2 linked regions of the Caenorhabditis elegans genome follow. The protein of the gene in region 1 interacts with the protein of each later gene in a pairwise test. Each region holds a gene or a part of one and is shown on either strand. Other genes may lie near its edges.

Region 1 (3,237 bases):
CAGAGATAAACACTGGTTAAGAACCGTTTTCAGATAATAGAACTAACTTGAATTTTAGAAAAAATAAATTCATTTAAGGTGGTTCAGAAGAAAAACGTATAAAGCACTTATGTGGTAATGGTGATCACGATTGTAAAAGATCAAAGTGAACAAAAATTATACAACAATGGGGGTACAGTAAAAGCTACTGAGATCGTAAAGTTATAATTATGACGTAGTATGATACTTATTTTTTCCTCTTCTCGAACAAAGCTTCAAGTGTTGGCAATGGTGCATTTGGCATCTCAGCAGCCAAATCTGGCAACGATTCGAATGTTTTTTCAACCTGAAATTCAATTCAAGTCTGCAAAAACTGATTTTCTAGTTTTCAAACCTCTAACAAATCTGCCTTGATTCGATCTTCTCTACGCTTAACTTCTCTGCACAATTTCTCGTGATGTTCAATGCTCATTCTAACATTTTCTATAAGCATATTCAAGTTCGATTCGAGAGTTTCGCGTTCATTTGTCTCGTTTTTCAGCCTGAAAGCATAAGTTAATGTACAAAATCAATTCACAAAAGTTTCAATCAAACCTTTTAACATATTCCTCCAGCATCGGAAGAGCTTCTTCATTTTGGACCAACAGAGACTGTGCTTCTTGCGAACTTCGAACTGACTGCAACTTTTCTGGGCACGAAATATTATCCGGATATTTTGAAAGTTCTGTGCGAATTTCTCTTTCCGTGCTCGGCGGGTTTTGAAGGCGCTTCAAACTGAGCAAAACATCTTGTGCATTCTTTTTCGCTTCTTCAACGACGAACTGACTAGGTTGAGCGACCTTAAGCTCATTTTGGCATTCTTTTGGAATTTATTAAATTCACACACCTTTCCATGTTCCTTGTTCGCAACTGCGGGTGTTGGGAAGCTTCCAGATAGCTTAACTTGTTGATGAACTTCATGAAGCCGTTTGCATTGTGATGGAGTGAATATCTGACGATCTTTCCATACATTGATCAGTTTACCAATTGCATGTTCCACTTCTTTTGCATTTTTCAACTCGATTGCATGCCTGAAATTAATTTTGAGATTAGACGTTTGAAAATGCCAATACCTGAAAGAACTTTCTATTGCGGGAAAAAATTCGTCCTTGAATTGTGGGCAAGTCTTTCTCGCATTTTGGCTTACATCATTCGCCACATAAAGAAGATTTACAATTTTTGAGCCGTGTGTTTCTTTCTTTACTGTCTGAAATACAACACTAAAAAATGATACAATATGAATAAAATACCTTTAGCCAAACTCGAATGATCAATTCCCGATTGCTATGATTTTGCAAAAGCCAGGCAGAAGTCGTCTGAATTGAGGAAGGGTGGTTTGATAAATTTGTTAACTTCTGTCGCAAAGTTTGCTCTGTGAAATCTGCCATCTGAAATATCAATTATTGAAAAAAAGAAATCACAAAAATTTTAATCAGAAATGTAGATAAAGCGATGAATTGTCCTCAAAAATACCTTGGAAAAATGAATTTTCATTCAAAAAAGAGAGGAAAACGCGTTTCAATAAATTTCAGCAAAGTGTCGTATAGTTCGATGTGCGATGTGCATTTGAACGCGCAGAAAACTGCGGACTAAACATTGTAAATGACGATGTCTCTCATTGTCAGCATTTCCTGTTATGTTGAATTCTCAAATTTCGAGCATTTGTTTTCTGTATTAATTGAATTTTGTCATATTGAATATTTATATTGTTTCAACTAAATAAGTATACGCCTTTTTCAGATGACAAGCTTCACTGGAATCACGGCTGTCGCCAACGCCACCAATGAAATGGCAATGTTCAAGCAGGCAATGAAGGAAGTTGCAGCTCATCCAGAGTGGATGAGTTCCAGACAAATTGAGCGTCAACGCTGGAACCCGTATTCAATGGAGGGAGGATCAACCTGTGCCATTTCTGGGGAGAACTTTGCCATCGTGGCAAGTGATACTAGAATGACCCAAAACGACATCAACATTCTTACACGTGACGCAGAGAAGATTCAAATTTTGTAAGCCAGTATTTGTCTTTGTTTTAATAATAATTCTTAATTCAGGAATGATAACATCATCCTCACCACCTCTGGATTCTATGGAGATGTCCTCCAATTGAAGAAAGTTCTCCAATCTCGTCTCCACAAGTACCGCTTCGATTATCGCTCTGACATGTCTGTGGATCTTTGCGCAGAACTTCTCTCCCGCAACCTCTATTACCGTCGGTTCTTCCCATACTACACTGGAGCTATTCTTGCCGGAATTGACGAGCACGGAAAAGGGGCCGTGTTCAGTTACGACCCAATCGGATGTATCGAGCGTCTTGGATACTCAGCCAGTGGAGCCGCTGAACCAATGATCATTCCATTCTTGGATTGTCAAATCGGGCACGTTACGCTCTCTGAAGGATATGAGCGTCCGGAACTCACATTGGACAGAGCCATCTCATTGATGAAGGTATAATTGAATTTCGTAATTTTAACCTAATTCATTTATTTTTTCTAGGATTCGTTCCGTGGTGCTGCTGAGCGTGAAATCTCTACTGGAGACAAAATTCACTTGGTCATCGCTGAAGCCGGAAAGCCAGTCGTCGTAAAGTTCCTGCCACTTCGTGAGGATTAATTATTGCAGTATCTATCTCATTTTATTTTAACTTATTCGTATCCTCTTCCCCTCTGAAATTGTTTTACCATCCCGGTAATCTGATAAATATTCCTCCACTTATATGTTGTAGTCTACAACATGACTACATTTCGGCGTCCAACGCAAACTACAAAATAGAGAGAAAAATGCAGAGAGCGAAAACACACAGGGCAAGAACGCACGAGTGAGACACAAGATATAATGCAAAAGAAGGAGTGAGTCGGCGCTGCTTAGAACCGTCTGCGTTTCGAGTCTCTTACTTTGTGGTCTGCCCAGCTGTGTCATTGATTCATTCCTGCTTTGCAACTCGACAAGTTGGTATTTACTGAAAAATGTCAACTTATATTCAAGTTAACATCTACAATCAAACTTTGGAAGTTCTCAAAATGCGAGGACTCGATTTGCAATCTATTTTGGTAGGTCAAGCTTTTGGCAACATTTAGCTTCTAATTATATAAATATTCCCGAGATTAGAAAAACTTGAGTAATAATTATTTTGGCAATAAAAATAATATGACAGGTTATTCTTTATGTAATGGTCGATCAAAAATCATAAATACTGTATTTTATAAAATTGTAATTTTGGAA
Region 2 (6,958 bases), 2.2 Mb from region 1:
GAAGAGACTTCCACCGGTGTTTGCAGCAGCCGGCTGACCGAAAGCATTTGTCGCCTGAAAATTAATAAAATATTGAAATTCTAGGATATCTTAACTCACCGCTGGGGCACCTCCGAAACTGAATCCACTCGATTGTTGCTGTGGTTGTTGCTGAGCTTGGCCGAAGAGTCCGGTACCAGTCGTCCCCGTGTTGCCGAACAGGGACCCAGATTGATTTTGATTCTGTGTATTCCCGAACAACGATCCACCAGTATTCGTCTGTGGTTGTTGATTGCCGAAAAGAGACGATCCAGTTGTCTGACCGAATGTTGAAGCTCCTGTTGTAGCTAAGTTTAAGGTTAAAAATTGTGTTGATGCTAGATTTATTCTTACCTGTAGATCCGAACAGTGACGAGCCCGCTGGTTTAGCTCCGAAAAGAGATCCACTTGCAGCAGACGTGTTGGCGTTGTTGTTACCGAACAATGAACTTCCAGTGTTTGCTGTGCTCGTGTTCCCACCAAATGGAGATGACGTCGAAGCTCCCCCGAACAGAGAAGTCTTCTGTTGAGCATTACTTGATCCAAAAAGCCCACTGCTTCCAGCTTGGTTTGTTGTGTTGGATGCTCCAAAAAGCCCACCGCCAGTGGAAGTCGTTCCTGTTCCGGGAGCCTTTCTATTTGCAATGTAATCCTCCACTCGGAGCTCTTCAATACTCTTTCCATCGTACTTCGACATTGCAGAAATGCACATGTGCTTCGTGGAAATTGTCTGAGTTGTCCCATTTCTCATCATAGTATCAGAACTGATCGGTGGCTCAAACTTAACAGTGGTTCCAGATACGGTCGATGCTGAAGCTGATACAAGATTAATTTATTTATCGAAAATCAATTGTTTACCTCCAAAGAGACCTCCACCAGATGGTGCATTATTATTGGAACCAAAAATGCTGCTGGTTCCAGTATTGTTAGCGTTGTTACCGAATAGGGAACTGCTTGCGGGAGCTGCTGAAGAAGTTGACCCAAAGATACTTCTGTTGGCATTGTTCTGCCCTCCACCGAACAATGAACTCTGGTTGTTCTGAGGCTGCTGCGGACTTCCTAAAATATTAAAATAAATCAAACGCATACAATTATTGATCAAAATACCGAATATGCTGGAAGTGTTGCTGGCCGCTCCGAAGATTGATCCTGCCGGCTTGTTCTGTGCCGCCCCGAAAAGGCCAGTAGTTCCACTGTTATTGGCTGGCTGACCAAACAATCCTTTGTTTTGATTGTTCTGGTTGTTTTGTCCAAATAGACCGCTCCCAGAGCTGCCACCGCCAAAACTCGATGAGCCGAATGATTTGTTCTGGCCGAACATTTAGCTGAAACTTGCAATTGATGAGACGGTTATAGATGAAGCGATGAGCAAGTAATAATTTGCAGTGAATGAAAGGCGGTTGTCATGAACATTCTGCTAAGAGCTGTCACAAGTTTTCATACAACCAAAAAGATAGCATTTACTTGAAAATGTACTTTAGGATTTCCAAATCGGAATTACTCTACACTCAAATTGCACGCTAATGCGACTAGACGGACATTGATTGATTGATCAGGTTACAGGTACATATTTATGACTGAAAATGTGCAAGAATAACACAAAAAATGGGAGAACAACTTCTACAACCAAACTCGAGATGAAAAAATGAGCGAAATGATTTCGAATGCAAAAATTTTTTCGAAGTGATTCTGAAATCGCAACAGAGCGAGTTTGCATTATACACCCTGCGTCTCTTAAGTTCACACACTGTCTCACTGCGCGAGGGTTTTTGACAGTTCTCGACAAGTCTTTTATTTTTTCCCGCAATTCGTGTTTTTTCGTGGGGTTTATTGGAATAAACTGTTTTCCATAATCGTTCTAAAGTCGGTCTCCACTGAAAAACTTTTACAAATGCTTTTCTTTTCAAATAAATTGATTTTTACATTTTTTCTTTCAGATTCGGCAAGAAAATCTGGTTCAGATGCTCAAATGCCATAATCCGAAATGGGTAACACGTTAACTGGACGTTCGAACGCTATCGCACCGATTATCAGTGCGGAAGATGCTAAAACTTATAGTGAGTTTCAGGGATGTTACAAAACAAACATAAACTCAAATTTTTAGTATCGGACGAGGAGTATCGACGAATTCGCCAAGCTTTCCAACGCTTCAAAAATGGATGCATTAATTATGACGTAACTGTTTTTAATTATTTTTTTAACTTCACCATTTAAGGAATTCTGCTATCATGTTCTCGGAGGCGCGCAGATACCAGAAGAAAAACGACGCCTGCTGTTCAGCTTCTTCTCTCATGGCGCTGAAACCATTTCCTTTGACAATTTGCTTTCATCTCTTGTTGGATTGTGTAGAGTAGAAGAAGTACAATCGAGTCAGTCAAGAAACATTTCAGAAATAATATTAAATTATTTATTTTCAGGGTTTATCGAAGAATATCACGAGTTCGCGTCATGGGGATTGAGTCCTCCTAAGCTTACGATTCCGCTCAATGATTCCTATATCTCATTTTACGAAGTGATGTCTTATGTGACGCATTGTAAGATTTAAATTATCTTGATTTCCGTATTTCAAAAACCATTTTTCAGTATCCGTGAACGAGGTTATCGAGTTAGAGAAAGTGTTCGCCACGATCAGTGATCGAGCTGTCTGCAAACTGAATGAAGAGAAGTGGAAACAAGCATTGGGTGGATGCTTCCCGGATAGTTATGCTGAGAGATTATTCGCTGTTTTCGATGAGAATCGAGATGGTCAAATTGACTTCAGAGAGCTCGTTTGTACACTTTCGGCTCTTTGTCGTGGACCTCTACCAGGGAGAATTTCTCGTGAGTTTTTAAGAAATTATTTTGAGAAACTAAAAAGTTGTTTTAGAGTTGGCACGAATCTGGGACGTCGACTGTGACAAACTTCTGTCTGACGAAGAACTTTCTAACATGTACAAAGATCTTAATGTCCCAGAAGAACATCAGACTGTCACAAAATCATCGAATGGGAAATCTGCTCTCGTTGATTTTGGAATATGGGCACAGGAAAACGAAAAATATGTCAATGAATATTATTCTATGGCTCTTCAAATCGGACACATTTGTCTCGGATTGAGACCAGAGTCACGGAAAATGGAATTACAAATTGTGAAGTTAGTGTAGCTTTCAATTCTCAGTTTAAATAACTTTGAATTTCAGCGAATTTGAAAAACGTGCCTCTGAGCTTCCACTTTCCGAGTGGAACATTGTAGCTTCAGGATGGCATGCTGAGCTCAGATCCTTCCTGGAAGCAGATAAAAATCCGAATCCAATCGATAATTCTGGTATCAAGGGAACAAGAGAAGATAGCTGGACCAGCAAGGTTTGACTTTCTAGTCCGGAAAAGTAAAGAATTAATTAATTTTCAGGTTGCTTGCATTTCAGCTGAATCAGCTCGTCTGAAACCCGATCTTATTCCATCTGACTACATCCGAGTGCCTGTTCCACTTTGGAGAGCATGGCTCCGATGGCACGGATGTGCACTGACAGTAGATTCACAATTCACAAGAAAGTATCTGGATGGTGAATTCTTTGAAGACAACAAGCCCGCTCTTGAACTGTATCCACTCGAAATTCTCCTTCTGGGCCATGATCGTAAGAAGAGCCAGGATGGTACAGAAAACACTCCAAGATCCTTGACATCCTGGGCGTGTGCTCAAGTATCACGAAGTATGACTGTGGATGAGCTTCTCGCGCTGTGCAAGACAGAACTTCGACTCGGAGATGGAGACGCAAGGCTTTGGCAAGTTGTGAAGGAGAATGAAGAAGGAAATGTACTTTTGGACGATGGAGCACAAAATCTACATCAATTATACTCGTCACTAGGGAAAACGAAAAAAGTGAATAAAATGAAGCTTTTACTGGAAGTACGAGAAAGAGGAACAGGAGTGTGGCCAGAAGAATTACGAGCATCTCTTTCCGGGAAACAAATCACTGCTGCTTCTACTTTATCCTCGAATGCACAATTGTCAGGTAAATCTTTTATTCGACTTTATTAAAAGCACATAAATAGTTTATGTTTTTTTTCTCAAAAAACAAAAAAATCGCAATTATCAAAAAGCTCTCATTGTCAATCAATTCCCATAAGATTCTTCAGGTCGCCCAGGAGCAGTTGGTCTTGTTAACTACGGTAACTTCTGTTACCGTAACGCCGGAATCCAGTGTCTTGCGAGAGTTTCCCCACTCACTCAATATTTTTTGGATGAGGATAATTTGGATGCTATCAAAAGAGGGAACTTGAGGCGAGGAGATGCGGCAGAGACGACAATTGAGTATGCGAAACTGCTCAGAGAAATGTGGGCAGCGAAGAAGAAAAATATTGCTCCGAATGATTTTAATGTGAGTTTTGTTATTATAAGTTGAAAATGAATTATTCAAATTTATAGGATGCTATTCGATTGAGCTCGGATATGTTTGAATGTAGTGAGCAGCATGATTGTCAAGAATTTGTAGCATTCTTGCTGGATCAGCTTCACACTTCAATGTATGAATCTAACAAAAGTCTTCATCCATCTCCCGAAGAATCTGAAGGAACCGATTCAAATAAATTGTCGGATTCAAGCAAAAAGAAAGAAGCTGATAAAGAAGAAGCTGATGAAGAAAAAGCTGAAAGATCATGGACGGAGTACGAAAAACAAAATGAGTCACTCGTTACACAGCTCTTCACTGGCCAACTCCGTTCCCGCCTAATTTGCCGAACTTGTCAATCGAGCTCGAGTGTCTTCGAGCCATTCACATCGTTGTCGTTGCCAATTGGATTTGAAGATGTTGATTTGTATCAAGTTATTGGTAAGAATAACACAATTTGGTTCACCAAAATATGGAAATTTCAGTTGTACATAGAGACGGGCGAATCCCGCGTCGCTATGGTTTCCGATTGTCACGTGACTCGAAGGTTGGAAATCTCCGGGAAGTGGTTGCCGTATCAAGTGGAATCTCGATGTCACATCTAACGATTCAGTGTATGTCCAGTAAAGGAACGCTTATGAGCCGATCCCCAAATCATCGAAGTTCAAACTTACGCGATGAGCTGCCGCTGAGTTCATTCCCTTCTGGAGCAAGACTTTACGCTTTAGAGCTACCAGAAAGTACAGGTGAAGATCAGTGGCGAGTTGCGATGCATAGGAAGCTTCAGTATAACCATGAACCTTACATTCTTGGTTCAACTGCCGGATTCATAGTATCTCGTTTTGGACTTCCTTTGATCGTTGGATTGGACGAAGAAGTAACTGGAAAGAAATTATACGAAGATGTAATGTATCAAATGCATCGATTTATGGAACACTCTGTGAATTCCTCCTCGAGTAGAGCTCATGATCCATGTGAAGATGAGAATTCAGGATATCCATTCACTTTATGTTTGGTTGATCCGAATTATGAATGGTGTGGGCAATGCCCGGCTCTCCGATTCTGCAGAGGATGTCCAATCCGTCCAGATGAGAGCAAAGTATTCATTCCTGCCAACTGTCCGATTGCAGTGGATTGGCTTCCAATCGCTCTCTACCTTCGATACAATCACTCGCAGGAGCAAGCATGTGAAGATGATCCTTCAGTTGCCGAAACTTGGTCAAGGCACTTTGCTCCAAGCTCATTGGAGCACTGCATTGAGAAGTTCTCATGCCCTGAGACACTTGACGCAGCAATTCAATGTGACCGTTGTGAGAAGAAGACGATGAGAGACAAAGTGATGACTATTTGGAAGCTTCCGAAGTACTTGGTGAGTGGCTATGGCGCAATTTTTATTTAAAATTATTAAAATTTCAGATAATTCATCTCAAACGGTTCGAATTTCTCCGCGAACAAGGTCGAATGGGAAAGTGCAAAAGAACGGTGAATTTCCCGTTGAAGCACTTCGATCCAGCTCCATTTGTTGACAAGCCCGACGGAAATACATATGAATGCATCGCACTCGCTGTAAGAAACTTATACAAACTTAAATTTCTTCAAAAATTTATGTTTTAAGAATCACTATGGACAACTATCCTGTGGACATTTCATAGCCTATGCAAAGAGCAATGAGGACAAATGGCTTCTGTTGAATGACTGTTCGGTTCGAGTAAGTTCAAGGTTTTTATTATAATCAATTAGTGGAAAAAATTTCAGGAAGTATCTGAAGAAGAAGTTGACAAACAAGGCGCATATCTTCTGTTCTACGAGAGAAAAGATGTCAAATAATAAATAAATCTCCATTTGCTACAAAACTTTAAGCTCAAACTACCTGGCCATCTATCTAAGAATTCTAATGACAAATATCGCTTGATTCTATTCGCTTTCTGGTTGTTATTCTTCAAATGTTTACTGTAAATATTTATTTATTTCAATTTATGTGCTAGTCACCTTTTCCCGTACAGTTTCCATAATTTTCCAATGCTTCACTTCTTTCTACTACCGGATGAACTTTTTTTAATTGTTGTGTGTTATGTACTTCTCCCTTCTTCGTTATATCTTCAGAAATTTCGGTCTTTTTCTCAATTCCAGAGAAAAGGTGGCGCAATAGTTTGGGTGTGATTTAATTTGCCAGTCGATTCACGGAAACTTCGAAAAAAAATCGTTGCAAGAAAAAAATTGCAAGATGCTAAACTTTCGATTATAAAAACTGCACTGAAAACTTTAATCTGAAGCTTTTGGGTTACTGTAGTTGACTCTGTAGTGTCTGGATTTTAACAAATAAGAAATCGTTTAATTGTGTGGATCCTGTAGAAAGAATCGTAATTTTGCATTAAAAAATGTATTGCTTGAAACATTGGAAATTCTGAGTGGTTATCACCCGTTAATACACAGAAATATTAGAAAAAAACAGAAAATTATAGGAATTGAGATCAATAGAATAAATAAAAGCAAAATTTCAAGAACTTCCTAACAAATCAACAACTCCAAATCCACTTTTTCTCTCCGAAGAAGATTTTTGATTAGTGATAGGAAT

The links.
Region 2: the proteins of pbs-6 (region 1) and cyk-3 interact in a two-hybrid assay, tested with the Caenorhabditis elegans proteins (one large-scale study listed by BioGRID).

The regions. Positions count from the first base shown.
Region 1 is NC_003281.10:8,242,614-8,245,850, reverse strand, and holds pbs-6 (Proteasome subunit beta type-1), read left to right. Parts: upstream 1-1,758; coding exon 1,759-2,024; intron 2,025-2,069; coding exon 2,070-2,463; intron 2,464-2,511; coding exon 2,512-2,628; 3' UTR 2,629-2,729; downstream 2,730-3,237. Other genes in the region: cids-1 (CID domain-containing protein 1), read right to left, coding at 227-325, 374-521, 574-818, 866-1,049, 1,092-1,225, 1,269-1,406; Putative zinc finger protein C02F5.12, read left to right, coding at 2,982-3,065. UniProt on the Caenorhabditis elegans protein: Non-catalytic component of the proteasome, a multicatalytic proteinase complex which is characterized by its ability to cleave peptides with Arg, Phe, Tyr, Leu, and Glu adjacent to the leaving group at neutral or slightly basic pH.
Region 2 is NC_003281.10:6,018,210-6,025,167, forward strand, and holds cyk-3 (Ubiquitin carboxyl-terminal hydrolase cyk-3), read left to right. Parts: upstream 1-1,949; 5' UTR 1,950-2,002; coding exon 2,003-2,075; intron 2,076-2,122; coding exon 2,123-2,193; intron 2,194-2,233; coding exon 2,234-2,387; intron 2,388-2,435; coding exon 2,436-2,552; intron 2,553-2,601; coding exon 2,602-2,838; intron 2,839-2,884; coding exon 2,885-3,149; intron 3,150-3,195; coding exon 3,196-3,358; intron 3,359-3,404; coding exon 3,405-4,008; intron 4,009-4,123; coding exon 4,124-4,374; intron 4,375-4,421; coding exon 4,422-4,824; intron 4,825-4,868; coding exon 4,869-5,752; intron 5,753-5,799; coding exon 5,800-5,949; intron 5,950-5,998; coding exon 5,999-6,091; intron 6,092-6,138; coding exon 6,139-6,210; 3' UTR 6,211-6,450; downstream 6,451-6,958. Other genes in the region: npp-10 (Nuclear pore complex protein Nup98), read right to left, coding at 1-54, 100-326, 373-828, 877-1,077, 1,126-1,339; tbx-7 (Putative T-box protein 7), read right to left, coding at 6,881-6,958. UniProt on the Caenorhabditis elegans protein: Ubiquitin-protein hydrolase which cleaves ubiquitin from ubiquitinated proteins. Plays a role in embryo osmoregulation.